2 linked regions of the Xenopus tropicalis genome follow. The protein of the gene in region 1 binds, or shares a complex with, the protein of each later gene. Links are inferred from orthologs where the notes say so. Each region holds a gene or a part of one and is shown in the gene's direction. Other genes may lie near its edges.

The links.
Region 2: the proteins of aak1 (region 1) and pdlim5 are in contact, whole or in part, in a crystal structure (PDB 9F6S), measured with the Homo sapiens proteins. The link is inferred for Xenopus tropicalis from reciprocal best matches to the Homo sapiens genes AAK1 and PDLIM5. Residues at the interface, in NP_055726.4 of Homo sapiens: Asp956, Leu958, Ile959, Asp960, Leu961; in NP_006448.5 of Homo sapiens: Ala12, Pro13, Trp14, Gly15, Phe16, Arg17, Leu18, Phe24, Gln67, Ile70, Lys71.

Annotation. Positions count from the first base shown.
Region 1 is NC_030679.2:122,506,524-122,523,440, forward strand, and holds part of aak1 (AP2-associated protein kinase 1), read left to right. Parts: intron 1-3,673; coding exon 3,674-3,795; intron 3,796-5,233; coding exon 5,234-5,315; intron 5,316-6,658; coding exon 6,659-6,791; intron 6,792-8,935; coding exon 8,936-9,039; intron 9,040-9,418; coding exon 9,419-9,498; intron 9,499-9,763; coding exon 9,764-9,918; intron 9,919-10,311; coding exon 10,312-10,601; intron 10,602-10,723; coding exon 10,724-10,900; intron 10,901-13,137; coding exon 13,138-13,385; intron 13,386-14,241; coding exon 14,242-14,399; intron 14,400-14,967; coding exon 14,968-15,084; intron 15,085-15,591; coding exon of another isoform or gene 15,592-15,690; intron 15,691-16,917.
Region 2 is NC_030677.2:76,395,396-76,412,312, reverse strand, and holds the end of pdlim5 (PDZ and LIM domain protein 5), read left to right. Parts: intron 1-4,536; coding exon 4,537-4,717; intron 4,718-9,111; coding exon 9,112-9,232; intron 9,233-10,479; coding exon 10,480-10,595; intron 10,596-12,165; coding exon 12,166-12,255; 3' UTR 12,256-12,296; downstream 12,297-16,917. UniProt on the Homo sapiens protein: May play an important role in the heart development by scaffolding PKC to the Z-disk region. May play a role in the regulation of cardiomyocyte expansion. Isoforms lacking the LIM domains may negatively modulate the scaffolding activity of isoform 1.

The DNA of each region.
Region 1 (16,917 bases):
TTTGTTGTTTTCCCAGTGCTTCTGTGGGTTTCCTCCTAAACTCCAAAGCATATAGTCATGTTATTTGGTTCCTGATAAAACTGACCCTAGTGCACAAATGTAAGAGAAATTTAATTGTATCCTCCGCTGGGTTAGGGTTTAATTTGAATGATGTATAATACTTGTAAAGTACTGTTGAATGTGTTGCCACAAAACAAATAAAGAATAATAATGTTCTTTTAATATGGTTTATTAATACCGTTTGTTTTAGTTTAGATCTAAATTTTATCCAGCTCTAAAGGTAAATGTTTTTGTTACTTGTATTCTAGCCAAACATGCCCAGCCAGTACTGTGGATATCTGGCACAATGCCTATTGGGAAGATTTGAAAATTTAACTTGCAGGTGCACTATGTTTGCCAGTACACCGTGCATAGCAATGCATAGGCAGATGAAGAAGTGAAGAGCAGACAGTTCCTCCTCACATCTGCAGTTCTGATTGCTTGAGATGTTGGCCTGAATAATACAAAAGCAGACAGACCATGCCTGGCCACTTATATGGTTGAATACTATATGGGACTGGCCGGTGTATGTCTGCATTTAAAGGAACATTTCGGTGTAAAAATGAAACTGGGTAAATAGGCTGTGCAAAATAAAAAATATTTCTAATATAGTTAGTCAAAATCTACCAAGATCTATTAAAATCTATAAAGGCTAGAATGAACAGATGCCTAACATAATAGCCACAACACTACTTCCTCCTTTCAGCTCTCTAACCTCTTAGTCAGTGACTTAAGGGGGTGGCCACGTGGGACGTAACTGTTCAGTTAGTTTGCTTTTAATCCTAAGCAAACAGTTATGTCCCAAATGCCCCCCCTTCAAGGAGGAAGTAGTCTTGTAGCTATTACATCTGTTCACTCCAGCCTTTATAGATTACAATTTTGGAAGCATTGAATAAGGATTTCTTGGTATAAAGGAAGGTGTAAGTATGTGTGAGAAGCTATTAGTATTAATGGAACCCCTGTGACATGCTGGTTTTGGCAAGTCGGCAAACTGGCATTTATGGTCCGATGACCAATGTTTTCTATTAAAACTAATGACAGGCTCCACATCATTTAGGTGCCATGGGCCTGTTAACTCTGTATAAAGGAAAAAATGAATGCCCTTAAGTATAACTTGGTGTAAAGGAATGGGTAGATGAGGTTAAGGATAACTATGTATGGTGGAGAGAGTAGATGGGGATGGAGGAGAAGGAGGCAGCGATTGCTTATTAGGGTATCTTGGTATGAAGGCTGGTTTGAGTTCATGGCTGATGTAAAGATGCATGAGTATAAAGATGATTTTGTGTTAGCACTGAAATGGCTGAGAGCAGGTGTGAATAAATGCTAAGGCAGGACTTGCCCAGAAAAAAGGGTAACTTGCTGTAGAGGCAGGAGTAGGGGGGAACTATGGAACATTCACATGGCTGTAGTTGTTTGTTGCTGACTCTGAACTGTATTGTGATCAGTGAGATTTTTCTCAGTCTGCTTAAGGAGACCGCAGTTGTCTATAATTGTGCCTATGGCTGGGAGCATTTAACTTGAAATCTATTAAGTGACTCAGAAATTGTCGCAATAATTACCATAGGTGCACATCCCAGAAATAACCATTGCAACAATTGTGTTTCAAAAAATTGGATAAGATTGTAGTAGCAATTAGGAGCAATTTAGTTCTGTAAAGTGGAAGTATTTAGCTTTTTTGATGCAAAATACATTTTGTTCAGCTTCCATATGCCTTTGTGAGTCAGATTTCCATTCCATTATGTGACAAAAATTGGTTCTGGAACAAGTCAAAAAGAAACAAAGTAATTTTACATTGGATCATTACTGAATATGGCAAATATGCAACTCGTTTATGTTTTGCCAATTTTAATTTACTCTTTGTAAACATAATTACATATGCAGAAATGAATTAATATTGCAGTAGTTAAAGCCTCTGTACCTGGGCTATAAACCCTCTTGATGTCGGGCTCTTTTTGGCAATAGTTTATTTTCAATGTGCCTCATTTATAGATTATCTGAACTAGATGCTTTTCCGGGGGCTTACTTTCTTTTTGCATCTTTTTACGTCAGGCAACTACAAAGAAATAATAATCCAAAGTATTAAGTCCTGTTACACAGTAGAAAGCTGCTTGCCTAAACATTACATAAAGGTTGGGATAATTATGTCCCTTTAAACAGTCTGTTGTTTGTTAGCTGACGTTTGCCTAATTATCAATGTGCATAAGACATTGCCTAGCAGACATAAACACTGCAATAATTAATAGTGCCAGGGGAATATATGCAGGAGAAAGCTGTTTGGAAATGCAGCAGAATGAAGTGCCATTCACTGTTGTAATGTGTTGTGTGTGACCCATTTGAAAGTCTTTTCACATTTATGGATCTGTGATGCTCATTTTGTAGAAAAAAACAACTATATTATATATGATTTTTAACTTTTATGTACTCCTTCATGAAACTTTGTCAGCCTGTAGTTTTATCTAAATAATACATTTATATTATATTATTTATATTATTATATAGTATAGCTACACACACTAATATGGGCAGTACAGGCCAACATATCACATACAGTTGTTGTAATACTTGCAAAGATTTTACAAACATGACTATATGATCTCCAGCTAACCGGAGGTAGCAGTAAGTCTGAAAATCGGCTGATGCACTAAAATGCAATTTACCAATATTTCATTCTTACATTTTAAGCTAATTTGTTTATTGCTAATACTAATTTATAGAAAGTAAATAAAGATGTTAACTCAAAAGACTCAAAGTCCTTTATTCTTTTAGGGGCACAAACTTATGTGACTTATTCTAGATCCCAGCTCTGTCAGTTCAATTCTGACTGTGGACATTTTGTAGTCATGCATTTGTGTATTTTTAACATGTGACCAGCCTGCTGTCAGTCAATATCTCCTCCTTAAGCCATGTTTTGTTCTGATTGTCAGCATATGAACTGGCGGCCGTCAGTCGTAATCTACTTTGCTGTCTCATCTCCTTTGCACAGATTGTAAGCGAGCAGCTTGTTATCAGGCAAAAGCTACTTCCTAACCCCCTTTGTTTTCTTCTGACTGTCACTTTAGCATCCTACCATCAGTCAGAACCTTACTGCAGCCCCTTAGTTTTTCTGTTTGACAGTAATATGTGCTCCCTGCTGCCAATCTGCTTCTACTAAGTGCTTCATCAGGCTAGAGCTCACATGGCCAGCAAGCAAGGTGTCACTCAAACTCTCCCATATACAGTACCCCCATTTTAAATCCCCGCTGTGAGTCTGGCCCTATTCGATTTCTGTTAGTGTCATATCATCAACCTGCTCAGTTTAAAAAAACTCAATAGCTTTTTTCAGCATGTGGCACACCTACTCTCAAGCAGACCCAATCTAGATAGTCCACCTAGCTTTGTATTGTTAGTGTATGAACAGGCTGTTGTTCTGTTTCACACATACAGTCATACAGTCTTCCCTGTGAACTACAAGTCCCAGAATATCAGTGGCCGCTATTCAGAGGATCTGGAAGATCTGTGCTCTAGACCAAGACTATATACATTTGTAATAAAAACAAAAACAAAAAAAAAAATTTCATTTTGAAAATTGAGGATAGGATTGTTTGCTTGTGCTCCTGTTTTTCGCAGGCTCACTTTATGCTCTTTATGTGCACAGGTTGAGAATATTTTACTACATGACCGTGGTCACTATGTGCTGTGTGACTTTGGAAGTGCAACAAATAAATGCCAGAATCCACAGACAGAAGGCGTCACTGCAGTGGAAGATGAGATTAAAAAGTAAGTTTTTCAGCTGGAAAACTGACTAAAAAAAAAAACTAGAAAATGTATTGTAATTTTTCTGTGCTGTGCTGGGGACTTAGGTTTGATTCCAGTCAGTGCACTGTATACAGGAAGGTTCCTGATTTGGTTCCAGCCAGTGCACTGTATACAGGAAGGTTCCTGACTTGGTTCCAGCCAGTGCACTGTATACAGGAAGGTTCCTGATTTGGTTCCAGCCAGTGCACTGTATACAGGAAGGTTCCTGATTTGGTTCCAGCCAGTGCACTGTATACAGGAAGGTTTCTGATTTGGTTCCAGCCAGTGCACTATATACAGGAAGGTTCTTGATTTGGTTCCAGCCAATGCACTGCATACAGGAATCTGCCTGATTTCGTTCCAGCCAGTGCACTTCTTACAGGAAGCTGTCTGATTTCGTTCCAGTGAATAGGATCCAGTGCTAGGGTCATAGGTACAATTCCAGCCAGGACACCATTTGCAAAAAGATTTGTTTGTTCTCCCTGTGTCTACTTCCACACAAAGAATTCCAGTTGTACTATGTACAATATGCCAAAATAAAGTGGCATGGCTACAAATGGGCACGCCCGCTCTTATCATTTTGCAGACTTAAGGTAACCGACTGATTGTAAAAACTGCAAGGTATCTAAATGTAATCTAATTTGTATGACAACAAAGGTGCAGCTTGATAAACTTGAACTTGATACTCCCTCATAGGGAAGACTGTGAAAATGTTTTGGGCCCTTGTTTTAAATCCCAAAATCTTGTTTAAAGGAGAAGAAAAGTCATTTTGGCATTTTACTGCCAATAGATTCGCCACATTAGTGCCACCTAGAACGCTATATTTATTCTGCAGAAAGCTTTACTATACCTAAAGTAGAGGACTAATAGAGGACTCTGTGAGTGCTTATGGCTGTATTTACATAGACCTTTCTGATAAAGCTTACTTAGTTTTTTACCTTTCCTTCTCCTTTAATTAACATTGCACAAGGGGCAAGTGCACTCGTTAAATTACATTACTACTGTTTATAATTAAATATTTACTTTAATCTGTAACAGCCATGAAGAATGTCATTGAGTAGATTAGCATCACAATATATAGTTACACAAACTATAGCTATGGTAAAAATGCACTTAATGCAATTAAAAAAAATATGTATAATTTGTGTATAATTGAGCGAATTTATCATGCAGCTCTTGACAAACAAATGTTATAAAGTCATTATTTTGTTCTATCACCTCCTGCTTCATTTTTTTTTTAAAAGTCAGTAATGTAAAAACCGGTGCTAATTATTCACAAGCACCATATGGTATTTTGCAACTTCTGTTTTTTATGTTCGCACCACTTGCTGTAACGTTGAACTGAAGAAGAAAATGAATTGAAGAGAAAGGGTAAATAAAAAATGACTAATATATATACCAATTGCCTTCTCTGCATCAGGTACACAACCCTCTCATATCGGGCTCCTGAGATGGTGAATCTGTACAGTGGCAAAATGATCACCACCAAAGCGGACATCTGGGTATGTAAGATCTCCTTGCAGACATAATGAATGCCTAGCTGTGTGCCTTTTAGAGAGGGGCATTTTTATAATGTCCATTACAAAACTGCAAAACTAGAGATTTCCATTGCCTGAATAAGGTATAGAAACCATTGGCACTCTAGTTCAAGCTCCAATTTTGGCTTAGGTTTTGCTATCACATATTGCTCACGCAACAGATTCTGCTGTGTGAGGAATCTTTTAATCCTATATCTGTGAGCGTCATAATCTGCTCATTCATGTCAGAAGCTCTACAACAAAATTAAATCTCTCTGAGGAAGTGTCAGGAGTTCTTTATTTTTCCCAGCTTTGTCTGATCTGCCGCTGGCAGGAGCTTATATATGTGTGCCCGCCATTCTGTTCCATGGTAATGTTGCACCCTTCCTCTGAACATGGTTTTCAGTTGATTACCAATTACCTGAAACATAACTATTCTCATTTCCTGTTTGTCCTACATGGGAAGCCAAGAGTGCAGTGGCATCACCTTATAAACTCCCTTTTGGGTTAATGTTTCACAGAAAATTTGTGATGCTATAATGTAGACTTTCTGCTGAGGGTAAGGGCAGGGAAAAAGCATGGAGTCCTGTGCAGGTTCAGTTGGGCAGACCTAGACCTGCTACTTGATTCTACCCACAATGTTAACTTGCCTTGTGACCTGGGGACGTCATTGTGGACTGGAGTGTGGATCAGCTGGGTAATGTGAAAAAATAGTTGTATTGTCTAGGGTGGGTGGGAGGTATCGCAGCTGTGGACCTCCTGAAAGGTCAAGGAATTGGGGATTTTCTGCCCCAAACCCTACTGCTTTGTGGGTATTCTGACCCGATGCGGGTCTCTAACATTGATAATCAGTGGCTGACCTAGTGGGCTAACAGTTTTCTTATTCATGGGAGTTGCGACATGTGTTTTACCTATGGCCAAATCTTGCTATACTGGTTAGTTGCTATTTACATTCAAACAGTATGCCCCATGTATAATAAAAGGCTCTAAGTTTGCCCAGGAGCAATAATTAATAGCAACCAATAAGAAGTTAGCTTTTAAGGAGGTGACCAGTAAATGCTTCCTTCTGATAGGTTACTATAGGATACTGCTCCTGTGCAAACTTAGTGTGTTTTATTACATAAGCCATATGTTATTACATAGAGCCATTTTCTGTACTTCCAAGGAGAGGACACAGAACTGACTTCTCCTTCCATCCTCATTCTGAATCCCTTATAGCTCTGCTTAATATTCAGTTTCTATGGGCTTGGCCACTGGGAGTACTTAACTACTGTCAACTATCGTTGCTAACCTCTTTCTTCCTCTTTTGTGTATGTCTCTCATTTCAGGCCTTAGGCTGCTTGTTGTACAAGCTCTGCTTCTTCACACTTCCATTTGGAGAGAGTCAGGTGTCCATTTGTGATGGGAATTTCACTATCCCAGACAACTCTCGCTACTCCCAGGACATGCACTGCTTGATCCGTAGGTGTCTATTCCCTGTGTGTCTTATGCTATTTCTTTCATTTTTTGGATATAGAGCAAAATCCTGAAATGCCATTCTGTACTTACTGTGTGAATCCATAAACCCTGTTGCCGACCTTCTTTGCTTTTGCTATTGTTGCTTGCATGGATTTTTAAGACCTATACCATTCCAGTACCTCATGTTTTGACTAATAGCTGACTGTGAAATAAAGCAGTAGTAGAGAGAGAAAGCAATAATATGCAGTAATTGAAAATGAGTTTTGTACACTTAAAAAGCCTAAGGTATAAAACAGTATTGTAATTAGTTTCTTGTCTGTAGTTCAGCAGGCCCTATTGGCTTCAAGCAGTACTGTCATGCCTTTAAAAATCACTTTGAAACTGAGTCAGAGATTTGCATTCATAAACAGGATGTAAATGTAAATAATGTAAGTTATTCTGCATTTAAATGGAAATGAAAGGGATAAAAGATTATAAACCCTATAAGCTAGTGGCAACCCTAATGGATGTTTTTGATGTGTATTTATATTTATGCAACCAGTGTGGGGCTTTGGTCACAGTTTGTGCTCTCCGTGTTTTGAATTAACCTTGTGTGCCATAACTTAAAGGTAAATTGTTGGTCTGTTTAAATAAAAATAGTCATTGCAGGGAGTGCTTGTGCTGCTGCCCCTCAGAACTCCCAACAATCGGCACAGTGAGACCAAGGCTTGGAAATGACTACCTGAAATCTCTGGTGCTCTTCAAAGCCATTAATGCAAACCTCATTCACACTGAGACCTGCCTTGATAACAAATGGGGTGGGGGACACACTTGCAGTTTCCTCCTGTGACTCTCAATGCATCTGTTTGGAGCCATTGGATAGGGCAGCGCAGCCTGAACCAAGGCTTAACAATAGCTCTTTAATAAAGATTAAAGAGGAATTTGCTTAAGAGCCCCACACAACACAGAAACCCCTAATATACTTATCATTGTAATCTGTTCCTTCAAAAAGTATGTATGTATGTATGTATATCTTTATTTATAAAGCGCTACTTATGTACGGAGTGCTGTACAGTAGAATTCATTAATACAGACAGGGGGTTAAAGATAATGGATAAATACAAAGTACAACAATAAATACAAATAAATACAAGGTGTAGTTGCAATAAGAGTCAGAAACACAAGATGAAGGAGGTCCCTGCCCCGTAGAGCTTACAATCTATATAGGAGGGGTAACTAACAGACACAAATGGGCAATTTAAAGTATGGATACATACCATTTTTATATGCTGAAATCAAGCTGCAAAACAGTACTTTCTGCATCATTTGAAATCCTGACAGGGGAGGAGGGACTAAAACATTAATGTTACAAATTGTAACAACTTCTCCGCAGCTTTCATACTGCATGCAGGAACTACATAACCCACAATGCATTGCACTGTGATATTCATTTCCTTATTGACTTCATATGTGCAGGGAATTGTGGGATTTGGAGAATGCATCTTGAGGACAGTTGACTACTGTAATATTTTTGAGTCTTAATGCAGTCAGACAGATCAGCAGGAGAACAGGGAGCCAGGTTTAGGTAACTGTTCCTAACCATATACCTTACAAATCATAAAAAGACTGCATATTTTTAACTGATGTATATTGCATAGGTGCTTGAAAGTATGCTTTCTTTTCTAAAAGCTTCAGTTGTGCTTGGGTGGAGTTCCACTTTAACCAATGCCTCAGAAAGGGATATGAGCTTTACCCATAAGCCGTAGATAGCGGACCATAGATACAGAAGCTTTCATTGCAAGTGAAGATCCGAGTTTTTTTTTTTTTTTACTTGATGCTCCATCATGCTCAAGAAATACTTGGCATTCCATTCATTGATGTAATTACAATAAACCCAATGCATAAGGTACAGAATATAGTTTCTAGGCTTACTCGTCATGCTAATGTTGCCATGGTGTATTACAGCCTACTGCGTGGCTATGAATAAAAATACATTCCTGGAGTCATCTTAAAAAAAAATAAATAAAAGCACATATGCATATTTAAACTGACACTTTTCTAGATTCTAACCAATGGTGTGTTAACTGGGTTCATGCAAGAATTTGTTCGTGTTTTATATGCAAGAACATAATATAGACTTTTTCTGATGTTGTTGGTCTACCCCACAGGTTACATGCTTGAGCCAGACCCTGACAAGAGACCCGATATCTACCAAGTATCTTATTTCTCCTTCAAGCTGGCAAAAAGGGAGTGCCCTGTGCAGAATGTGCATGTAGGTACTCATGTCAGTCTACCAGCTGATATCCAGTATGTCTTCCACTTTTAGTCTCTGCACTAACATGTGCCCTTTTTCTGTTGCCTCCCTCTCCTCTACCTTCTGGCTGATTGGTGGAAGCTGGATTATAATTTGATCACTTTTTTCCCTGTTAGCACACACACACACACACACATAAGAGGGGAAAAAAACCCGCCATAACATTTCGGGGAAAAAAAGAGTATTGAGCTATATTTTGTATATTGGGTTACTGTTGGCTACAAAAGTAAGTCTTTTCAGTGACTACAAACTGGAAGGCAGCTAGGTTGAGGGAAGGTAGCAGAGCATTGGGGATCACAATATACATGTAACACCCTTTCTTGCTCTTATTCTCCAGGATGCTGTGATTCCTGTAAAGCTTCCAGAACCTATAAAAGCTGGGGAGGCTGCTGCTAAGAAAACCCAACCAAAGGCCAGGTATTATAAAAGCAAGCTTGTAGCTTTTGCAATTATCAGTTATGTCTCTGTACATTTCTTCTTGGGTTGTGTATACACCAGTGGTTTTAATGGTCTCCTTATACAAATGTTTTTTTTTTCTGTTTATTAAAGTATTGCAGGAAATATATAGAACACATTTGATTCAAGTTGGTGTTACAGCTTTTAGCATCAGGCTCTACCACTAGATGCTGCTTAAACCAATGATTCTAGTGGATTCTCTGTATTGCTGTGCTTTGTTGTGCAGGTTGACAGACCCTGTTCCAACAACAGAGACATCCATAGCGCCTCGCCAGAGGCCGAAACCTGGTCAGCCTCAGCCAAACCCTGGGATGCTTCCAATTCAGCCAGCTTTAACCCCACGCAAAAGAGCCATGGCTCAGCCAGCCAATCCCTCTCCAGGTATGTGTCTGTCTGTAAACAGCCAATGTCACTGTTGTTTAGCAGTATATGGTTCCATCCTCACTGTATAAATGGATATCAGGTAGCATGAGCCTTTTCACCTGATATAACTTAGTGACCATGAAACCACGCTATTGGGTTCCACTGAATGCAGTTGAAATATGCTACACTGGGGTCTCACTGCAGGGTGTGACAGTCTGGTTCTGTAGATCATGTGTGGGGTCAGACCAATACGCTGGATAAGATCACTATTTGCAACCATGTTGCAGGTATAAACTGAATTTTAAGAGATGCGGTTACAGATTTCCACTTAAGTGGGGTGAGTTCATTCTGATGTGTATACTCCAGTTTTTTTCATTTGATACATGATTAGTGCCTGTGCTGTCTTTCTAGTTGCACCAGTAAGTATCCAGTCCCCTAACCCTGCAGCTGTGGCACCAGCCGTGAGACCATCTGTACAAACTCAGCCAAAAGCAGCACAGCCAGCGGCACAGGTTCCCACACCTGTAACCACCACTCCACAGCCCGCTACTCCACAGGCTCCTCCAGCTGCTGTGCAATCTGCACTGACACAACAGCAACAGCAGCTGTACTTGAAACAGCAACTTATGCAACAACAACAGCAGCAGGCTGCGGCATATTATCAACAGCAGCAGCAGCAGCAGATGCTGCAGGCTCAACAGGTAAGGGTAAACTATTGGTGAAATTGTGTTGTGTTTTTTCATATTGGAGTGTGTATATATATTTTTTTTTGTGCCTGCATGTATATGCACTCTGCTGGTATTTCTGTCCTGCTTAACTGTAGATCCAGGCCATGCAACAGCAGCAGATGCTTCAGGCCTATTACATGCAGCAGCAACATCTATTGGCACAGCATGCCGCTATGCAACAGAAAGTGGCAACACCTAAACAGTCTTCTTTACCAAGTCAGCCACAAGCCATGCCAGCTGCTCTCCAGCCTCCTGCAGCTCAGGAACAGGGGGTAAGTGTTTTGATTAAACTTGTGTTGCATTAACATGTTAAGATATTAAGACACCAAGAAAATAAACACTGTTTAATTAAAGCATATTTAGATTAAATGGAAACTTTTTTTTTGTCTTGCTACCATCTGTCCGTGCCAGTGTAAAATGTCCCACAATATAGGTAATCAAAGTAGACGTCCAACTTGCCCTTGATTAACATTGCATAGGGCTGCTATATATGTGAAGCAATAGTCTTGTGCATGTTTGAAGGCTTAGTTGTATATGGGGCGTAAGTGATGGCAGATATTTGAACAACATTTAATATTCATTTTACAAAACTATTTCTTTTGAATATTTGACCTAGAAGTGAAGCATTTAAACCCTTTCTTATATTTTCAGAGATATTGCTTGTATTCCTGGTGGGTCATTTTTTACATTTGAACTTGGGTTGTGTTCTGGATGCAAGTGTTGGCAACTCATGATATGTGCTCCAAACCCATATACAGTGGAGGAAATAATTATTTGACCCCTCACTGATTTTGTAAGTTTGTCCAATGACAAAGAAATAAAGTCTCAGAACAGTATCATTTCAATGGTAGGTTTATTTTAACAGTGGCAGATAGCACATCAAAAGGAAAATCGAAAAAATAACTTTAAATAAAAGATAGCAACTGATTTGCATTTCATTGAGTGAAATAAGTTTTTGAACCCTCTAACAAAAAAAGACTTAATACTTAGTGGAAAAACCCTTGTTTGCAAGCACAGAGGTCAAACGTTTCTTGTAATTGATGACCAAGTTTGCGCACATTTTAGGAGGAATGTTGGTCCCACTCCTCTTTGCAGATCATCTCTAAATCCCTAAGGTTTCGAGGCTGTCTCTGTGCAACTCTGAGCTTGAACTCCCTCCATAGGTTTTCTATTGGATTAAGGTCCGGAGACTGACTAGGCCACTCCATGACCTTAATGTGCTTCTTCTTGAGCCACTCCTTTGTTGCCTTTGCTATATGTTTTTGGTCATTGTCGTGCTGGAACACCCATCCACGACCCATTTTCGGTTTCCTGGCAGAGGGAAGGAGGTTGTCGTTCAGGATTTCACGATACATGGCTCCGTCCATTTTCCCGTTAATGCGAATAAGTTGTCCTTTGCCCTTAGCAGAAAAACACCCCCAAAGCAAAATGTTTCCACCCCCATGCTTGACGGTGGGGACGGTGTTTTGGGGGTCATAGGCAGCATTTTTCTTCCTCCAAACACAGCGAGTTGAGTTAATGCCAAAGAGCTCTATTTTGGTCTCATCAGACCACAGCACCTTCTCCCAGTCACTCACAGAATCATTCAGGTGTTCATTGGCAAACTTCAGACGGGCCTGCACATGTGCCTTCTTGAGCAGGGGGACCTTGCGAGCCTTGCAGGATTTTAATCCATTGTGGTGTAATGTGTTTCCAATGGTTTTTTGGTGACACTGGTCCCTGCTAATTTGAGGTCATTAACTAACTCCTCCCGTGTAGTTCTAGGATGCTTTTTCACCTTTCTCAGAATCATTGACACCCCACGAGGTGAGATCTTGCGTGGAGCCCCAGAGCGAGGTCGATTGATGGTCATTTTGTGCTCCTTCCATTTTCGAACAATCGCACCAACAGTTGTCACCTTCTCTCCCAGCTTCTTGCTAAAGGTTTTGTAGCCCATTCCAGCCTTGTGCAGGTCTACAATTTTGTCTCTGACATCCTTGGACAGCTCTTTCCATGTTGGAGAGTTTGGAGTCTGCTTGATTGATTGATTCTGTGGACAGGTGTCTTTTATACAGGTGACTAGTTAAGACAGGTGTCCTTAATGAGGTTGACTAATTGAGTAGAAGTGTCTAACTACTCTGTGGGAGCCAGAACTCTTAATGGTTGGTAGGGGTTCAAAAACTTATTTCACTCAATGAAATGCAAATCAGTTGCTATCTTTTATTTAAAGTTATTTTTTCGATTTTCCTTTTGATGTGCTATCTGCCACTGTTAAAATAAACCTACCATTGAAATGATACTGTTCTGAGACTTCATTTCTTTGTCATTGGACAAACTTACAAAATCAGTGAGGGGTCAAATAATTATTTCCTCCACTGTAGATGTATAAATCTTTCTAAAAATATTTCTTTCTGGAGCAAACACAGAATTTTAGTGACCTTGCCTTTTAGCCACTTTATTACGATGATGCAACCATAGAACAGTTAATATAGTGTATTGTTATGCATCTTTTTGTCACATATAATTACAGCAGCCAGCTCCACTCAAGACCCCACAGAAGCCCCAGCCACCTACAGCACCTCCATCTTCTGCACCTCCCACAGCAGCAGGGCAGAAACTGGGATCCCTTACCCCTCCTTCATCCCCCAAGACCCAAAGAGGCGGCCACAGAAGGATACTTAGTGATGTTACGCATAGTGCAGTTTTCGGTGTCCCAGCCAGTAAATCTACTCAGCTTCTACAGGCTGCTGCGGCTGAAGCAAACCTCAACAAATCAAAGTAAGTATTTTGAAACAAAATGCTTATGTGCTTCTTTGCACAGAAAAGATGACAATATTCCCAGAGGTGATTATTTGCATATACACTTTGCACAGTGATTGAACAAGCCCCGTAGGGGTGCCTTATAATCATTCCCTATCATTGTGGTTGCTAGATATTTTCAGTTCAAGCCTCCTTGGAGTTCCAGCCATTTTACAGGTTCTGGATATAAGAAAAGGTTGGTGTGTAAGCCATTCAGCCATAGTTCCACGAATATAGAAGACAACAAATAAGTTTTCACAAAAATATTGCACCACCCCCCCCTTCCCTTTGTTACCAAGTAGCATCACTGGGAATTATTTTTTAGAAAACAAGCACCCAATTACATTTGTAAAAAATCTGCTTGCTTGAAATTACTTTGCGTTTTTTTTTATAAATCTGCTGCTTTTGACTGCAAGTTTTTAAACATATGTCCATATGTCATTTTTTGTGGTTTTTGAATTATTTAGCTGTTTTATTTAGCAACTCTCTAGTTAGAAATTGTTGTTAAATGGTTGCTAGGGTCCAAATTACCCTAGCAGCCAGGCAGTGGTTTGAATGAGAAACTGGAATAGGAAAAGTAGTGGGTCTGAATAAAAAGTTAAGTAATTAAAAGTAACCGTGAAATTGTAGTCTCAAATAGCTACGGTTTTTGGCTTCTGGGGTCAGTGAACCCCATTTGAAAGCTGGAAAGAGTCATAAGAGGAAAGCAAATAATTCAAAAACCAAAAAAATGAAGACTAATTGAAAAGTTACCAAGAACCATCCATTCTATAATATATTAAATTGTATTTTTTCTGCCCAACCTAAATTCTGCCTAATTTCCCGCTTTTGCCAGGTCAGCTACAACCACCCCTTCTGGCTCACCTCGGACCTCCCAGCAGAATGTTCACAATCCGCCAGAACCTTCTGGCTGGAATCCTTTCGACGATGACAACTTTTCCAAACTCACAGCTGAGGAACTTCTAAATAAGGATTTTGCCAAGCTTGGAGAAAGTAAGATATCCTTAATTTTAGCTGTTAAAATATATGATGATACAGTGTGAGTTGTACATAAATCTGTTTGCAACCCCAATTAACACAAAAACCATCCAGACTATAAGGATGCATAACACTGGCTAAATCTGGCTATTTCTGATATTGTCACAGTTTCTGTGGCCTAGTAAAGCTTGATACTCACTGGTAGATGAAGGTGGCCAGTTTGGCTATCTGCCTAGTCCTAACTAGTGCGTTTTTAATCATAATATGCTCAGATTGGAATATGTTGATAATTGCATTTGAGCAAGTAACACGGGCGCTTGAGCTGCCTATTAATCCTTTTTTAATAGACCTAGTGAGCTAAATTGGTCTTTAAATACTTCATCTGTTGGGGACCTAGAACATAAGATGATAATGGCATGTGTTTGGCCTGTGGAGTCACCAAATCCATCCTTTAAAAGTAAAAATTTAATATTTTAGCTACTACCTTCCTGTAATCTATTATTAGTGTCCAAACCTAAACTTTTACAAGGCATTTTATTGTTTTAACAAATAATATGATACTTCTTACCATCTTTTCTTTCAGGTAAGCCATCGGAGCAGCTGAGCCGCTCAGCAGAAGATCTCCTATCTGGGTTTCCAGCTCCACCTGCTGTATCTCAGGCTGATTCATTTGGAACTGCACTCTTTGCCAGTGGTTCAGGTAATTGTCTTTTCTTTCCCTTGAAACCTTATTACAGATGTAGCAAACATTTGGCTTTTCCTCTTTAATAAATTTAAACAAATTGCACAGATTTTGAAAAAGTGAGCAATAAACATCCTGCAGTAATTAAACTATTTTCTGAGAATAAGGAATATTTTCTCCTCCTTCCAGTACTTTGTTCCCCTGTACAACCAAGCCCTACTTTAACAGTGCCTTGTGACTATTGGGATGGTGTTGGTTTAAATGTTCATGCTCCACTTAAGCTTCTTAATTAAAAACCCTTACAGTCAAAGCACTCAGGTCTATGTGGCTAACCCCTGTTACTTGCATGTGTGTTTGGCAATTAACCCTTTCACTGGTGGAAAGAGTCACAGGCATCATTAATGGTCCAGTGGTGGAGACAAGGATTTGACATTCTTCAGGTGAAACTTCCCTTTCTGTCTTTTATTCTTACTTGTCAATTTTCTCTTCTTGTTTTTCTCTCTCTCCTTTGGTGTGATTCCTTAGCTGCAGATAAACCTGTAGATTCACAGGGGCCCAGTCCTGGCTCTCAGCTGCAAAAAACTTCTGATTCTTTCTTGCCTCTCCCTCTGTCTGACACCCCAGGTAATAAAAAAAAAAAAAAATAACCCATCAATAAAAGAGTGGAAGCATGCCCTTGTTTTATTGTAAATGCAATAAAACATATTTATATTTGTGAGATATGGCACAGACAGCATTTTGAATCAGCAATCAGAGCACATTCACCTGTAACAGATCATTTTCCCAAATAGGAAAAGCTATGTGTGTTATTATTATTAGGGTAATTATTACTGCTTGTGATTTCACGTGCTTTTAACCTATAAAGCTCACAGAAACAATCTATGTTGCACATTCGACTTTCTGTGGTGGGCTTTGCAATCACCTTTCCTGATAGGATAAGAAATGCACATGAAGATATGATGTGAATAGAGCTACACACACTGAATATTGTAGTATGGTACATGGGCATGACTACCTTTGCCAGACTCGCATGTATCAGATATAGGTTTGTGATGTGATCTTGGGCATTTGTACAAGCACTGGCTCTTCACTAGAAATAGCTTTGTACTCAGAATGCCTTGATCTTGTTTAAAAATAAAGAAACTATTGAATGCATATTAAATTATTGATCCAGCGCACGTGTGTGTATGTATGTGTATAATTCTCTAGTCATAGATCTCAAGTGTATCAATATATCTATCCACTATCTACTAAATAGGCAAAGAATTGGGAGCAGCATGGCATTTTATAGACAAAATAGGATGTAAAACATTTTTTTTAATAACTTGTTCTTCTAGCCAAATAGGACTGCTGTGTTTATCAGTGGGACAGAAGATGATAGTATTAAGCTGATAGAATCAAAACTGGTAAAAAGAGTCATAGCACCAGTAATGGTAGTTAACCTGTGGTTGGGATAAGGATTTGAGATGCTGCAGGAGCACACTAGAGATTGGGCATTTCTATATTTGAATTGTGATGTCACTGCCTCCAGATACTACAGGGGGCACAAAATGTGCTATACAAGCTATTATGCAACACCTGCTTAAGGTCTGGCACTTAAGGGAAAAGTTAGCTTCTGATCAAGGTTATTTTCCCTGAATTAAACTGAATAAAACCCATGTGTTACATTACTAAGCACACAGTCCAGGCATAATTTCTTCCTATAGTAGTTATTACATGAGCTTGTGTATTTCTCACACAATAGCTTGGGGGACACAGGGACAGTGGGTATAGCTCCACCTGCAGGAGGCAGGACACTAGGTAGGAATTATTAAAAAGAATGCTCCTCCCCCTCAGCTATACCCCACAGCG
Region 2 (16,917 bases), on another chromosome or scaffold:
ATTGCAAAAAGCTCAGAGAAGAGCACCTAAACTAATACTAAAGGAACTGATGACCTAACCTGCAGTGAAAAGCTTGATGGAGTTTGATTGGTCTTCCTAGAAATGAAGAGGTGCCTTGGATGCAATGTGGTTAACACATACTAATGTATGCAAGGCAAGAATAAATATGTCAAGTGCCATTAGGCCTTATTTATGATGTGACACCCTTCACCACTGCAGTACTGTGTAAAGCTCTAGTGAGCTGTAGACTTAATAAGCATAATATCTGCACTAATTCTGTTTGGTATGGTATTGCTGTCTAGCATTTTTGAAGGAATTTTTCAGAAAGTACTGCTAAATCTACAAGTTGCTGAGACTTTAGTTATTTAATTATGAAAGTAAAGGCTATTATATAACCCCTTATATTGTTTTACAATTTGATGATCAGCCAATACAAAAAAAGAAGATAACCAGCCCTAATTAGACATGCTAGTTGTGCGAGTGACTTTGACTGCTACTCATTCTTTGTAAAAAGGGAAACACTTGTAAGTAAAAGAGACCTGTTAGTGTCTAACAAAAATACAGCAATTTATTTGGAACATTAAAGGTAAGGGATATGTTAATGACAACATTGCAATAAAGTATTTATTATAAGTGCCCATAATTTATGGCTGTCAGGTGCTGTGGTGTAGTCTTATTTTGAGACACATCTAAGATGAGCCATCAAATGTGTCTAGAGGTGTCAGTAAAATCAGTGTACAGTATATACTGAGCCTATGACAGCACTTCAAGCTACAAGGCCAATAAAAGGTGCTCCCTAAGCCACAAGGTGCTTCCTAACTTTTGCATCTGAATGACTTGCACGTTATGGGGTGGAAGGGGGGTTTAGGCAATAGATATAGTACAGGGTAGAGGGCAAGTTTGGAAAGGCACCTATTGGCACCTATTTTTTGCACCCTGACGACTTTCACATGGAGATTATACTTCCTTAGTGGGAAGTTCCCTGCATAGTATGTGTGTGTATGTATGTATGTATGTATGTATGTATATATGTATACATATGTATATACATATACACATATATATATAATACACATATATATATATAATATATATATAATACACATATATATACACATGTATGTTTCCATTACCTAAAATATATAGCATGCCAGTTGGCACCAATTTTTTTGCATGATGATGTGTCTCTCTCTCTCTCCCAGGGTAGAGAACCCCATGTGCCACAGAATGTGGCCCTTAACCGCACCTATACCCTATCTGTATGCCTCCTTTGCTGCCTAGTGCATAGTGGTACTATCTGAAAAAAAGGATGGGGAGTGGGGGGTCAGTTAGATTTGGGCTATTACACAGAGCAATTGAAACACAGTATTATTAAGTGATGGGAGCCAAGTTAAAATGACACTTTTAGGAATATTTTAGAAAACAAAGATAAATAATTGCAGTCTGATTTGTTGCTGTTGGCTTATTTTTTTTATAGAGGAACATCTCCATCTTTGACGTTTATTGAATAATACAGTATTTATATCTGGTTTTTGTCTGTGGGAACTCCAATTTAGTAATTTTTTTCTTCCGTGTGTTACAATTCATCAATTTGTGTATAACAAAGTACTCTTCATAGCCTCTGGTAGAGAAGCAATGGGCACAGCTGTTTTGTCTCTGGTTGTCTTAATAGAATTACAGTTCATGCCCTCCAAGGCAGGATTACCTCAAAGAAAAGCAGGTTGTTGTATCAAATGGCAGTCTGGTACACCTGTTTTAAAACCAAGATACATCCAAGACATAGATGGTTTACTTCATGCCTCACAAAGCCTTGGCATTACACAGTCAAAGTGATCCTTTAGATAGCATCACTTTTTTATTAGCGCCGTCTTAATTATTGATTTGAGAATGATAAAGTTTTGCATGTTTAAATGCGTATGGCTTACAAAAAAAGAGCTGCTATTTGTAATTAAATTGATGGGAAAAAAAGTATTTTTGACAAAGCAATGATGAGATTACATAGGAGATTACATAGGAACCCAGACCATCCTGCAATATGCATTTTTCATTCGCAAGATAAAATGGGTCTTACTGAAAAGGTTTGCTCACATCTAGTAACCCAAAACAACCAATCAGATGTGTGCTTTCAAACATCCAGCCAGTAATTGCTAACCACAGGGTAGACTGTTTAAGACAAAAAATAAACCCACAAAATAAATAGATAAAATATTATATATATATACAATATGTTTTTGTGCACAAATATACAACAGAAAATGCAAATATGTATAGTTTTATGAAATGTTCTAAGTACCACACCAGAAATGGCAGAAACGCCTCCTTGTCTAGGGAAACAGATCACAAACACTGAACCTGCTTTAAAAGCTTAATCGGAGCATTCAGACCCGGAAGTGCATCGGATTGTAGAATCTAATATCTGTAGCACTTTTATGGTGCTTTTATCCACAAACTGTTGATCTGTGTCACTAAAAGTGTTAAAAGCTAGTCAGTCTTTCCCAAAGTATTCTATAACTGCACCTCAAATAAACACTTTTTTATTGTTTATGTATATATGATCTGTTTTGTAAGTTTTCTTTTGAGGTTTTACTGATTTATGGGGTTGTTTTTCCAGCCCTCTTTATAGCAGTTTATAGGAATGTTTTTCCTGGTGCTGTCAAGTGACAGGCATTTATCACTCAAAACGATCAGTGCTGGTGTTTTTAACTGTATTGCAATGTTTTCTAATCTGCACACTTTGAGTAAGACTGACGATTAATTGTAACATAGCTCCAGGGGGTCAGAAATGTTTAGAGTAAATACTGTTAAATTAGATTTGGAACAAATTGCCTTCTTTTAACATAGTTGTTAAAACTATGTTTTGCTTTTCAACTTTTTGGAGGCCTTACTCTGTAGTTACTCTGTAGTCACTATGCAAATTAGACCTTTAGAGCTTGACAGAAGCTGCGACATACACATGTTCAAAGCCAAACATTTTGTTACACTAAATCTAAAATAAATCCAAACAACTTTGGGCCATGAATATTTGTTTTATGCTATACAACAGGGGCACCAGCTGAAGTCCGAGGAAAATACTTTATATACAATGTGTCTATAAAGAATCTCATTCATCCAGGTCATTATATACAGTATCTAACAGAAGCAACTGGACGTTCTGAGTTAGTCCTGTGACAGTTAACTCAGAATGTCCAGTTGTCATAGACTTAATTCTACTAGATACTTTATATACAACTTACTAGACCACATTTAAGTCTCCGTTTCAACACTGGTTTAGTCAGAGTTACTGAGCCACTTGTTAATTTATCTGTAAACAAGTAAGAAAATATTATTATTATTATTATTATTATTAACATTTATTTATAAAGTGCTAACATATTCCGCAGCGCTGTACAATAAGTGGGTTTCATACATTGGACATACAGAGTAACATATAAAGCAATCAATAACCGATACAAGAGGTGAAGAGGGCCCTGCCCAAAAGAGCTTACAATCTACCACACTTTCATCACTTCCACATTTACATAATTCAAAGGAAATTTCACATTGGCTATAACTGTGTCACTTTTGCTTGTGTGGATTATTGTATCAGTTGTGTACCCCTATTAGCACTTAGCATAGCTAACTATTTCATTGGGGCATAGCGTTATAGATCTTATCATCCTGGGGGTCACCAGTTTGTCATCCCTAAGGTACAGTTTTCATCTTAAAAAATTATATGAAGAGCATGACACATGATTATTTGCTCTACTTCATAATCCCTTGTTCACCTGGGTTTGAACTTGGTGGTCTGACCAGAGAATGTCAGCATTGTAATCTACAGAGACCTATCATTGTTCAAAGATTGTGTTCCCTAACTTTTCCTTTTCTGTCCTTGGTTTCTCTAACATTCTGTCCACTGTGTTTCCATCCTCTGTAACATTTAGCTACTGAAGCCTATCTTTTTAATACAGATGGAAACCTAATCCTGTCTGGAACGGGAAGACCTTGTCTTCTTTAGTGTCAGTCTTTTGTTAATGAGTCCGTTAAATTAGCCTGTGCTGACACTCAGAGAAGAGAGCAGTTTGTTGTACATAAGGAGTCCTATTGTTAGTTCTATGCTGAACTGAAAGGCCATTGGTGTGTAAAGGTGCTTGTATAAAGAACAGAGGATATCAAATTAGGTCAGTGTTAGCATTGATTCATTAATGTTAGAGCATGTCAATTTTACTGCATATAGTTAGTTTACAGTAACTTGGAACTGACTGCTTCTTTCACTATTGTATAACATACATTATTTATCGTTAAGATATATGTTAAATGATTGAATTCTCAATTTCAAGCCTGGACAAACCTGATAATCTTAGATAGAGACCATTGACTAAACTAGAAATAATGTTACAATTGCTCATAGAGTCACTGCCTTAGGATCAGTTTTAGATCTCACTTCATTCAATTCATTAAAAACTGAAAACAGGTAATAGTTAGAATAAATACCTCAAATTTGAGTAAAATAAATTGAGGCTTCTTAAACCTGGACTCAAACCTCTCTTATGTTTTCAGGGGGCCCTTCCTATTGGCTTTGGGGAAATCATGGCACCCAGAAGAATTCAATTGTGCCCACTGCAAATCAAGCATGGCAGAGATGGGGTTTGTTGAAGAGAAGGGTGGCCTGTACTGCGAGATTTGTTATGAGAAGTTATTTGCACCTGAATGTGCCCGCTGTCAGAGGAAGATACTTGGTGTAAGTAACACATTTTAGCAAAGTGCAATACATCCAGTAATGTCATTTTGTACTACTAAGTTCCAACTAAAATGTAGCTTTATGTTCAAGCCAGGAAAGAATCAATTGTCATTTGTTCTACAGTGCATAGGAATTCTTGTGCAGAACAGTAGGACACCTTTGTATATTAAAAAAAAAATAAACTGGGGGAGGGGTATGCCTCATGTAGTATTAATAGGTCTGACATTGAGTCCTGCATCAAGAGTTGCAGCTGAAGAACAGTTGGGTTTGTGCAAGATAAATAAGCCATGTCCTATGTGGCTTGGGTCACTCATTATGCCTGCAGTTTAGCAGTTCTGACTACGCTTTGAAAGCCATGTTTAGGGCTCTGGCACACGGGGAGATTAGTCGCCCGCGAACAGGGAGATTTGTCGTGGGCGACTAATCTCCCCGTGTGCCAGAGCCCTTAGTGTAGAGGGAGCACTTGTTGTAAGCAAACTTAAGCTTGCCATACAGATATAGGCTGTCAACTTTATCATGCTGTGTAAAAAGTGGAGTAAAACTACTGGTGATGTTGCTCATAGCAGCCAATCGGATGCTTTTTTTTTTCTACCTGTTTTTTTCCACCAGATAAGCCCTAATTGACCCACTTTCTGCATAATCAGCTTTAAAGGTTTGCCTGCTTCCCTTTTGTCATTGTGGGCTTGTATATACTCTCAAATGACATCTGTGGGAAAATCAAAGCAAAAATACTTTGCTTTTAAGAAACTATTAACGGTTAAAACTATCAAGGGAAATTATTGGATAAGGAATGAAACAATATACAATTTAGTTGAGATTGCTGCAAAAAAACAAAAAAATAATTACTGATATATTTCCATTACATATAAAATGCTTACGAATGTTAGTGTTGCTTATAGTATATGCATAATATTATTCTCTGAAAATTTCTATTTATGTGTTAAGGGAACGTTGTGTATTTTTTGGCGTAGATGAAGTATTCTTTATTAATGCCAGTAGAACCAGTTCCTTCTATATATCACCAAACTGCCCATTATCTATAGAAGTCAGTGCTGTGCCTAAGCCAATGGTAGTAGTATGGTTGAAGTCACGTATTCCATGCAAATAAACCATGGAAAGCTTCTCTGTGCAAACTATACTTTCAAAACTTACATTTTATTTCTGTAAGTGAAATGTTTTGTTTATTTAGAGATGTTCATTATCTGACTTATTTAGTAGATGCTTCTGGGATTGAAAAGGCATTTCACTGCTTGTGTTACCAGACACAAAAAGCTATTACAAGTGGTTTTTGGAAACCGATATCTGCTAACCACTTTTATGGTTTCTGGTGCTGCGCGAAAAGCTTCTAGAAAAAATTAAAAAAAAAAACAACATAAATTATACAACAAGTAGGAAGACACTGTTACACTGATTGTGTTTTATAGATGGGTCAGATGAAATCTGTGAACTCTTTGGCTGCTTTATATGTGACGTTAATCGACTGTCTGCTAATAATGTTTATTCAACTGCATATTCAGCCCAGCTGGAATAATCATCTCTGCGAGTGCAGGAAACCTATAACACTTCATCTTTCTTTCTACCAGTCTCAACACATTTCCTAACTATTTGACCAGCAAGCCAATGAGATGTGGCTTAAAGGTGCAGTAAATACAGGAGCATAGTTTTGGTAAAAGCACTGCAGACATTAACAACACACTCCTATTTTATATTTTCATGTTCCATGCTAAAGGCTTTAAATTGTGGGCCTGTCATTCGATTTCACTGGAGACTTGCAATTTGCTTAGGAAAGTGCAGGCACTGTTGTCTTTCATTAGCTATTCCAACACAATCACAGTTGTGTATTTTATTTATTGATTGATTTTACAAATCACATTAAAATTAAAAGCCCCAGGGGACTCATCACCCAATAAAAGGCTATTGGCACAGTTTAAATCTATAGTGCATACATGTCGTGGAGGCATGTGAACCAATTTATTCTAGATTATTTTACAAATATGTCAAAACAATTGTAAAATGAAAATAACAATAAACACACCTACAGTAACGTTTATTGCTAAGCATGTACCTGAATAATTTGTTGTAGCAAAAATCAGGTCACTAATTTAATGGTTTATTCCATGTCCTGAATTTGGAAAGCAGCATAGCTTGTTAATTCCAAGGAGACTGCAATAAACAAATCGTCGTTGATTTCTGTAGTGTGTGCAGAGGCAATTTTATTTGGTAGAACTACCTCCAGTTTGGGTTAAGGTGCCTGACCCAGGCCACCTTGTAAATCTAACCAGTGGCAAGGCTGCTATGCTTCAGTTTCTGCAAGTTGGTATGTGAATGTTTCATGTAGTTTTTATTTTTTTGTTTGCATTAAATTTATTTAATGTTATGATGACAAAAGTTCAGAATGTTAGCATTGCATCATATTGGAGCTTGTGAATGATCTATGGAGTGCTATCTGCAGCCAAGAGTAATTTGTGATTGCAATATTGAAATTTAATTTTTAGGCTTTGCAGATGTAACTGCTTTACAACTTAGTGGGCAAAAACTTATTATCAGAAATGCACTGCATATACTGGGAATATTTTGTCTGCCTCAGTCTTACAAACAATGATCCTTTCCAGACTTAAAAGCGTGCTCTTAATTGCTATGGCATAATGCCTGAAACCAAAATATATTTATATGTCCAACACAGAAAAGCAAAGTTGAAAAAAGTAACTCACCAAGAGTAAAATGTGGTCCCGGTGCACCAGCCCCAGCAATTAGGTGAAGATGTTGTAAATAAAGATTTAACCGTTCAGTCAGTTTGAATGTTAGTTGTGTACCACACTGAACAAGAAAATAAATAAAAGTTGAGTAGGTGAGACAGAAAATCTTAATACTATAAGTTTATTGTCAGAGAGATCTAGAAAGAACAGTTGGGAGAAGGCATGCTTCAAATCCAGGAGAATCTAAGTAGTTTTCAGAAGAAGAATGGTCCAGAGATGCAGAGAGCTCCTTCATGTCTATACGAAGTACTTGAGTTCAGTTATACGTTTGGTGCCAATAACATTTTCAATTTTATTTTTGTGTTCAGATCTGAAATTCCGTTACCTTAATAGTAAATGAGAAAATTGTAAATCAATGTGAGATCAATTTATTATAGATATATATTTGTAAAAAGTGCAAAGGTATTTTTGACAATGACTATATAAACAATTCTTCACATTGTACCTGCTTTTTTTTTTTTTTTTTTTTTTTTTTTTTTGCATTTTTGAGATTTTAAACTCTATTTTTAAGCCAAAACTAATGTAGATGTAGCTATTAGTTACTGTTAACTGGATTACAGTTACAGAGCTATGAAACTCATGGATTGTATTTGCATACAAATACTTTCTCTGTTATTATCTTTGTTGTATAAATAGTTCTTATACAGCATACCAAATACATATCATGTATTACCTACACATACATATAACATATAGCAGGGGGATAGTGGCTAACATAGTACTTAGATTCAGGGGAATGCAACAAGAAGTGACAGTAGGCATGGCAAACATTATATACTAAAATTCTGTTTGTTCTGCATGCAAAATATTATAGCCAATTATTTCTATTTTAGGGGGACATATATATATATTATAAAGTAAAGTGCTCCATGTACTTAAAGTGATACTACCAGGTTCCTATTGTAGAAAGGAATGTGTCAGTATTAAAGAAAAAGTATGTTCTTTTGTGGGTTTTTTTGTTTTAAAAAAAAAATCCAAACTGCCCCTTTAATTATACCTGCCCAGTATTACCTACACTTTGCAACACTGTGCCCAGGCTTTAGTCGCCTGAGTGACTCTCGGTCACCCGAGTGCACAAAGCCAGTTACATTAGTCATTTTAGACAGGTGGAGGTGAAATCCCACTATTGGTGCAAGTAATGTTGATATTTCTACTGAAGTTTATGGACGTTTTGCTCTGCCGAGCTCTTTCCCCTCAGCACTGGGTTTGGGGCAAAAAAAAAAAAAAAAGATAATTGCTGTTCTTTGTTACAGTCTCTTATTACTATATTACTATTAGTACTGACATATTTCTAGCAAATATAGGGACACGCCAGTATTCCTTTGAAAAAAAAAAAAGGACCCAAAATTTGGTGGTTTATTTCTAGCTGAAAGCTATGTATTTCACCCAGTGTTCAGCTACAGTATTTATTGGTTCTGCAACATAACTCTTCACAATTAGACACTTTACAAATATGGTGAGTCAGTTAAATTGTGGTTTCAATTATTAATTAGGTTCTCATATAACATTGCCTTGAGACAGAATGAAAACTGAGCATTTTTTCTGTAATATATCAAGTGTGAGAAATAATAACTCTGTCTAGCAGTTACATCTAAATCACTTATTGATTAGAACTTCTCCTGTCTTTTTCTGTGACAGGAAGTCATCAATGCCCTAAAACAGACTTGGCATGTTTCCTGCTTTGTGTGTGTCGCCTGTCAAACTCCTATTCGGAATAGTGTCTTTCATTTAGAAGATGGGGAACCCTACTGCGAAACAGGTGTGTATTTTATACATATTATTCTTCTTTGGGCCACAGCTTTAAACTTATCGTATCCCCTTACTGATGTATTGTACATACTGTAAGCGTCATAGAATTAAAGCACTAGCATTTACCATATCCTTGTCTCTTGCATTTTTCTTCCATGGGGAAGCTCTCTTGTGTCATGGTAGCCCTCAAATTGTAGATTAAAAACAGAAGTAAATTGGTGTTTGAATTCGTTTTATCACAAAGCAATCTGAGTTAAATGTTTTAGAATTTCAATAACATTTGGTAAAAAAAAAGATATCCTTAGTTTCATCCAGTAACTGGATTGACCAATCATTACATTTTATAGAAGAAATGGCAGCTGACTGCATGCACAAAATGATCAGTGTTCCTTTATGGCTGCACTCATTCCTGATATATGCTGACGGTAGTCATACCCACAGAAATATGGGCATGTAATTTGGATGATCACAAGCCTTACCTATTGACATTGCTATATATCTTACTTCATGAAACAGCTTCTATAGGCCATTTGATCTGCTTATCTGCTGATGCCGATGCCTACCACCAGAACATGTTGGGGACATTGGTGTATCTGCAAGTTATAGCTTATGGGTCAGAGGCGCAGATCAATGCCATTGGCACTGATCTGGCCTTATCAAAATGTTAGGCCAATATAAATATCTGACAGAAAAAACAACCAAAAAAGCCAATAGATTGCCCCTTATTTGGTCAGATTTAAAAGCAAAATAAATGCACGTATTTCTCCTACTTTTATTTGGCCTGCTTCTTTATTAGAAGCTTATTTACTCTGGCAGGCCAATATGACCCTGGATATAAAATGTTACATGCAACCTTTAATATCCGACTGACGATCAGTTTTCTCAACCCCAACATAATACTGTATATTTGTTAAATCATAGATGGGATGGGCATCTTTGCAAATATGACTGAAGATGCAACCTCAAATCAAAACACAACTCTATGACATTATGGTTGTCTGTGAGCACTTTAGATACTAATCTCATACATATCATTTAAAATCTATGTCAAAGCCAAGTTGAAGTAAGCAACTATATTTGCTGAAGCAGAGGAGATTAAGCATTAAGTGACTACCTGGCACTAACTTCTCCCCATATGTTTCAGCAATCACTTTGCCTCCTGTCTTTTGCCGTTCCATCTGGCTTCTCTCATTTTGGAGAATACGTCTGTGTTGGAGTTTGCTATATATTCTAATGTTTAGACTCCTTATTGTTTAGATTATTATTCCTTATTCGGTACGATTTGCCATGGATGTGAATTCCCCATTGAAGCTGGAGACAGGTTCTTGGAAGCTCTTGGACACACCTGGCATAACACCTGTTTTGTATGCACAGTGAGTACAACTATGCCTGATATTGAAAACTGATCACTTCAGTATAACTCTGTGATTTGACATTAATGTAGATAGGTGAATGAAAGTTCCACAGTGTTACTTGAGGGCAGCTCAAGGTCAGTCATTTTTAGTAAACGTGCCACTTGTAGGTATTATTGACTTTAAAGCAAATCAGAAAAGAAAAGAAAATATATTTACTTGCAAATACAATATACACAGCATGGTAATTATATTACATTTGGGCTAAAAAAAAGACACCTGCCTTAAGCTGTCATCTAAATTGTATCACCCTGCATCACTGATGCACTTTTGGCAATTGCATAACATTTAATTGATATCATGTTGCTTTCTATGCTTAAAATTATTTACAGCTTGTTTTGTTAGCATAGATAGGAAAAGATTTATTTGCAGCAGTTATCAGCAATAAATAAAGTAATATGATATTTCAAATAATTGTTATGAAATAAATGTTAGTATTTATTTAAGGAAAGGTCTGCAATAAAATTTGTGTATCTGCTAAACAAAGTTTTAAGATTAGTTTTGGGAGAATTTAATGAAGTGATTCACCTGGATAAATAAAAGCCCTAAATCCTTACAGGATACTGCTATAAAAATAATATACATTGTGACATTATATTTCTGGGTAAATAAAAAATGCAACAGTGCATGTTTCTGCAGCAATGAAGTCTAAATGAGTGCAAATATTATATTAAAGTGTCAGTATAATAGAATTATTCAGTCTGAAGCAGTAGCTACGGTAATACACTGAACGTATAGTATCATCTTTCCTAGCACTGAGCCTTAATGTCATTCACTCAATTTAACATTGCTGGTTCATTTGTGTGAAGTTTACGTGGTGCAGATCACCTATGTTATTTAGTTTTTTTAAGATTTTAATATTTCAATTAGATTTTTAGTAATAAGAAAAGAGCTGGAGACCAAAAAAATCACCAAAAAAACAAGGTTTGGGCTTACAATGACACATACAGTACCTGGATGCCAGGGCGTGCTGTGCTTATTTAAAAGCACTGGGCAAATTTGCACTTGGGCAGTAACTCATAATAATTTATGGTGATTAGCATTCTTTACCAGCTGCAAGTAGAACAATGAAAGCAAAAATCTGATTGGTTGCCATGAGTAACTGTCCAAGTGCAAATTTTACCAGTGTTTATAAATAACCTTGACTGATATAATAGATTGTTGGTCCACTAGACAGATTGTTAGGTTTGTTACCAGGAGGTCCCACCGTGGCTACTGCCCTGGGGGCCCCACACCTCCCACAGGGGCCACCGCTATCCGCCCGACGTCCTCCCCTGAGCGCAAAACTTACTTTCAACGCTTCAGGGGTGGGACACCAGCGGCTGGGGGAGTGGCGAAAGGATCGGGTCTGGCCCACTGGGGCCCAAGGGGTTTTTACTGGTGTCCCGGTGGCCAAATCCGACCCTGTTTGTTATAGATCTTTGTTAATGAGTTGTTGTTGGCTTTTTTTTTTTTTAAATAGCTTTGTAATCCTGTATATGGAAATGCCTCAGTTAAATGATGCATATATTATTTTATTTATTTTTTGCAGATATGCTGTGAAAATCTGGAAGGGCAGACCTTTTTCTCCAAGAAGGATAAACTTCTGTGCAAGAAGCATGCCCATTCTGTGAATTTTTGAACCTGGGTTCCTGATTCCAGCACCAAGAAATAAGAAAAAGTTAAAGCGTTATTGGACGAGTATTGAGTTTTGTGGGTTTTATTCCATGATTTTCATGCCTGAATAGATGATAAAAAATATAACATTTTTACAGAAAGTTTAAAAAATCAGATGCTGCTACGATGTACTAAAAAGATTTTGGATAATATAGAGGTTTTTCTTTTTAATAATAAGTTGTCACTTCTGTTTGCATCTATGTATGGAATGGAAAACACAATAGTGATCAGAAGAATGATCACAATACGTTAATGCACCAGTTGTAAAGCCATTATGCAAACTAATTATTTATTCCTAATGAGCCTCTACTTTTCTATGTTTTTAGTAGGAGTGGGACTAGCAGCAACAATTTTATTTTAAAGATTGGTATACAGGTTGTAACTGCTTGATACGTCTTCCATATTTCTTATCTTTTTATGTGAATTACATTCTGTGTGGCATTACCCTTCATGCATTTGGGTAATTGTAAAATAGAAGGGGTTATACAGGAGCACAGCCAAACTTGGCCTTGTTCTGTAACCCATAGCAACCAATTAATAGTCAGATTCTATTTTTCTAGAATATTGAAGGCAAATATATGATTAGTTGCTAATGGTTACTGTCCTAAGGTACATTTTGCCAGTGTTTCTGCATAACATTGCAAGTGTTTAATATACACATCTAATAATTTTCACATTTAGATATGCACATTTAGAGCCATGAAAGAATGATTTGTATAAGTAAGAGAGGGGCAAACTCCTGCAGCAGCAATATCAGTTGGAAAAATAATACCCATAGTACCATTGTTTTGGACACGTATCATAATACACATATATTGTAATCTATTGTTTTTAATTGAACACCTTTTCAAAATCCTAGTTAATCAAGTGGCTTCAGTATTTACCTACCTACCTTTTCTTACCATATATACCTTTGTTTCTATAAAGTACCACATTCAGGACACTGGGTATAGAGATAGTCAGCTGTCTAGGTGGCTTCTGTTTATTAGTTGGTGGTTTCTAAATATTCAGTGTTTTAAGTTATTTGTTTTACATGGAGTAGACACATGAAACAACACAGAAATCAGTGCATATCATGCCATATTTTTTATTAAAGTCTTTTTTTTTAACCGCTATAGTTAAAACTAGTAATGAGAGTAATGAGTTGGGGGATCACCTACTGAGAAGCATAGTGCTATAGGGCAAAAAGTAGAGTCGCTAAAAAATGTATTTCCTGTGGATACAAGTAAAATACTCCGTTTATTAAAGGGGTCTTTCCTTAGAACTGACTCTTGATTCTGTTCCTAGCTCTCCAAAGAAGGAATTCCTGAAATGCAGAGGCAAAGGTATTCTTTAGTTAGAATCGTCCCTACTTACACTATGTCATTCATCCCATTGTTATTGAACTTATTGCAGAAAGTGCAATTTCTACTTGGCAATATCACATTGCAATCATCTAGGTGAAGCAACACTGCTATGGAAAGTATAGCAACCTTTCAAACGTATGTGTGTGAATGACATACTGTTCTTTCCTGTGGTTTAAATATATTATGCAGAGGCTGTTAGGGCGAAGATACACAGAGCGATTAGTTGGCGCGACTTGTTTAAAACATGATCGCGGAGGCTAATCGTGGAGTTTTACCGCCATAGGTTAACATGCGCGTTGTGACAACTAATCATGTGCTGTTTGCACTGGCCCGTTTAGTCGCAGCAACTTTTTAAAATTAAGCACCCCATGTGTCTTCGCCCTTAAGCCACTTTTTGCTTTTTGTCCTGGTAACACTTGGGGAAGAGAAAATGCACAGGATATGCTATAACTTTTACTGCCATCTTTATTTCTTGGGGTCTGCTTTATACTGATAGTTTTTAGAAACTGCACTATTTTTTCTGTCAGATGTAAGATGCTTGTTTTTTACCTAATGAATGAGGATTTCTGTTTATAGAGGGCCCACTGTATATCACCTAAAAATAACCAATTTAACATAGTAAATGTAAACATATATGCATAATTTTCCCATCTGGCTGTGTAAGTGAGTTTCAGTAACCGCTCCCTGACTGTTAGATACTTCCCATAATATGCAGTGAATGAACTGATTACTGCAGTTTATATGTTATTGTATTAAGTTCCCCTTGTCATGTTAAAGCCATGTCAAAATAACCCATAATAATATGTTAATTCTTATAAAATCATAAAAAATCATACAGGCCCAACCAGGTGTATTTATAATGAGTTAACTGCTTTATTCCTCATGACGTAAAACTTAACTGCTTTTAGCCGAGAAACAAAATCACCTTCACTATTCCTATTTAAAGTTATTCACTGTATGCACAGTTGCATGATTACTGTATTTATAGTGTGTTCTTTAAACAAGTACACACTGTTTGGGGACAGAATAACAGAATCATGTTTCTTGTAATTTGTTGTTATAAATATGATGTGTTTCATAAGCAGAAAACACATGTAGCAGGTGACGCCTTTCAGAGCACATTGATATCAGTAAGAGAGGCATATAGCCCTCACAAAACAACATGTATGCAAGAGTTGGTTGTACTGCAGTTTTGCATAGGATGCTTTTGAGAAAACCTGTTATGGTTTTGATTTGAAAGTGTCTTATGCAGTACAAAGACAGGCAGTTGAGTAAGGTATTGGAAGGACATCATACACATCAGACAAACTGGTTCGCTTTTTAGCCATCTAGAAAAGTGGTGTCCATTGAAGTATGAATTCAGTATGTCCTATGTTGGAGCTTCAAAAGCTGTGTTACTGATCTCAGTTGCTGACCATTGGGATCTGTGAGCCATGTTGACCTTAAACAGTCTGTTAGCTGGGATTTCATCGGGATTTTGTCTGTTGCTAAATCCCATTGTTTGTGTACAACTCTCATTTTGTCAGCAGCTTCCTTCTCGCTGGAGTAAGCTTCATAATACATGGTGTAAGTATGCAGTATGGTATACAGTATAGAGTAGATTTAGCCCAATTATCTCTCAGTGTATGTTTGAAAGCCATGTACGACAATCAGCTAGACTGCTTTAAAAATTCATGGAAATTTTTAGTTTTTATTTAATGGCCAGAAAGAAGAAGTTGGATCTATCCAGATGTTTTACCATTAAGGCCTCTGTAGCCATAGATGTTCAGCTACTCTGTCCACTTTAGTCAGCCTTCTGAGGCCAAAATGGGCACATATAGCAGGAACATATTTTTTGAATAGTTGCTGCTCAATTCCCACTTCATAACAAATTGAAGCTTAGTTTTCTTTAATGTCACTGATGTAGCAAAGTGTATCCTAAAAAGAGAGGTTACTGAATATCATCCCAAGCAACTTGGCTCAGGTACAATAAGTAGGTTACTATATCTTTCACTACTGCACAGTGACTTCTAAGTGAGTATTTAGGGGAAGGATACTGAAATAAAATTTGTTATAATTTCTCAGGATGCACCGATTTCTAACATTTAATAATGGATTTTGCAGCCAAAAATATCTGTTGTATAGGTTGTACAAAATCTGCAAGACACTAAGGCTGGTGCATTTTCTCAAGTACTACAGGTTTTGCTGCAAAACATAGCTCAGTGCTGTTTTGCATTAGTTTAGATTCATTCCGGTGCCTGGTTTTGGTACTTTTTTTGTTTTCATTCTGGGTTAGGGGTTGGTGCAAGGCTGTGACAGGCTGGGGTGCTGATGTAAACTGTATAATCCAGCATGTTTGGCCCTTGCTCCTCCTCTAGTTCAGCCTACAGAGACACCACACTGTAAGCCTGGCCTGCGGAGGCTAGAGCCTTCATTAAAAGCCTGTAACAAGTCTTGTATTACTTGTGAATGCCCCAGTGCCATTGTAATAATAATAACTTGCAGCTTTTGCGCAATTTGCAGAAACTATTATGCTATATCCTGGTATTTCTTCTACTAGATACAAATATTTAGGTTTAAAATTGCATTGGGTAATTAAGGGAAACAAAGCAATAAACGAGACCTGTATTTGGCCTGTATATGTTGTATTTTCTGGGTGGTTTATAGTAACTTTTAAATTCTAGGTTTGACTATTGAATTTACATTTATGTCTTGTATGACACTGAATATTTATTGTTCTGTTTTGGTTTGAATGAACTTTGTTAAAGATGGTTTTATGCAAAAAGCAAAGTATAAATACTTGTATCTTGTGCCATGGACCTTTACTACATAGACATTTGTTTATGTACAATTTCAGGTCTTGGAGTTAGTATTACTTTACAAAGTATAGCAGTAGACACTTTAGTATAGTAAATTAAAGAAGCCCCTCCCCCCCAAACAGTTTGTGGGGCATAAGGTTTATTTTTGTTATCCTAAAATACCGATATGAAAGGTGGGTTTTTCCTATACTTAGGGGCTGATTTACTTACCCACGAACGGGTCGAAATGAGTCCGATTGCGTTTTTTTCGTAATGATCGGTATTTTGCGATTTTTTCGTATGTTTTGCGATTTTTTCGGATTCTTTACGAATTTTTCGTTACCAATACGATTTTTGCGTAAAAACGCGAGTTTTTCGTATCCATTACGAAAGTTGCATAAAAAGTTGCGCATTTTTCGTAGCGTTAAAACTTACGCGAAAAGTTGCGCATTTTTCGTAGCGTTAAAACTTAAAATGCGCAACTTTTCGCGTAAGTTTTAACGC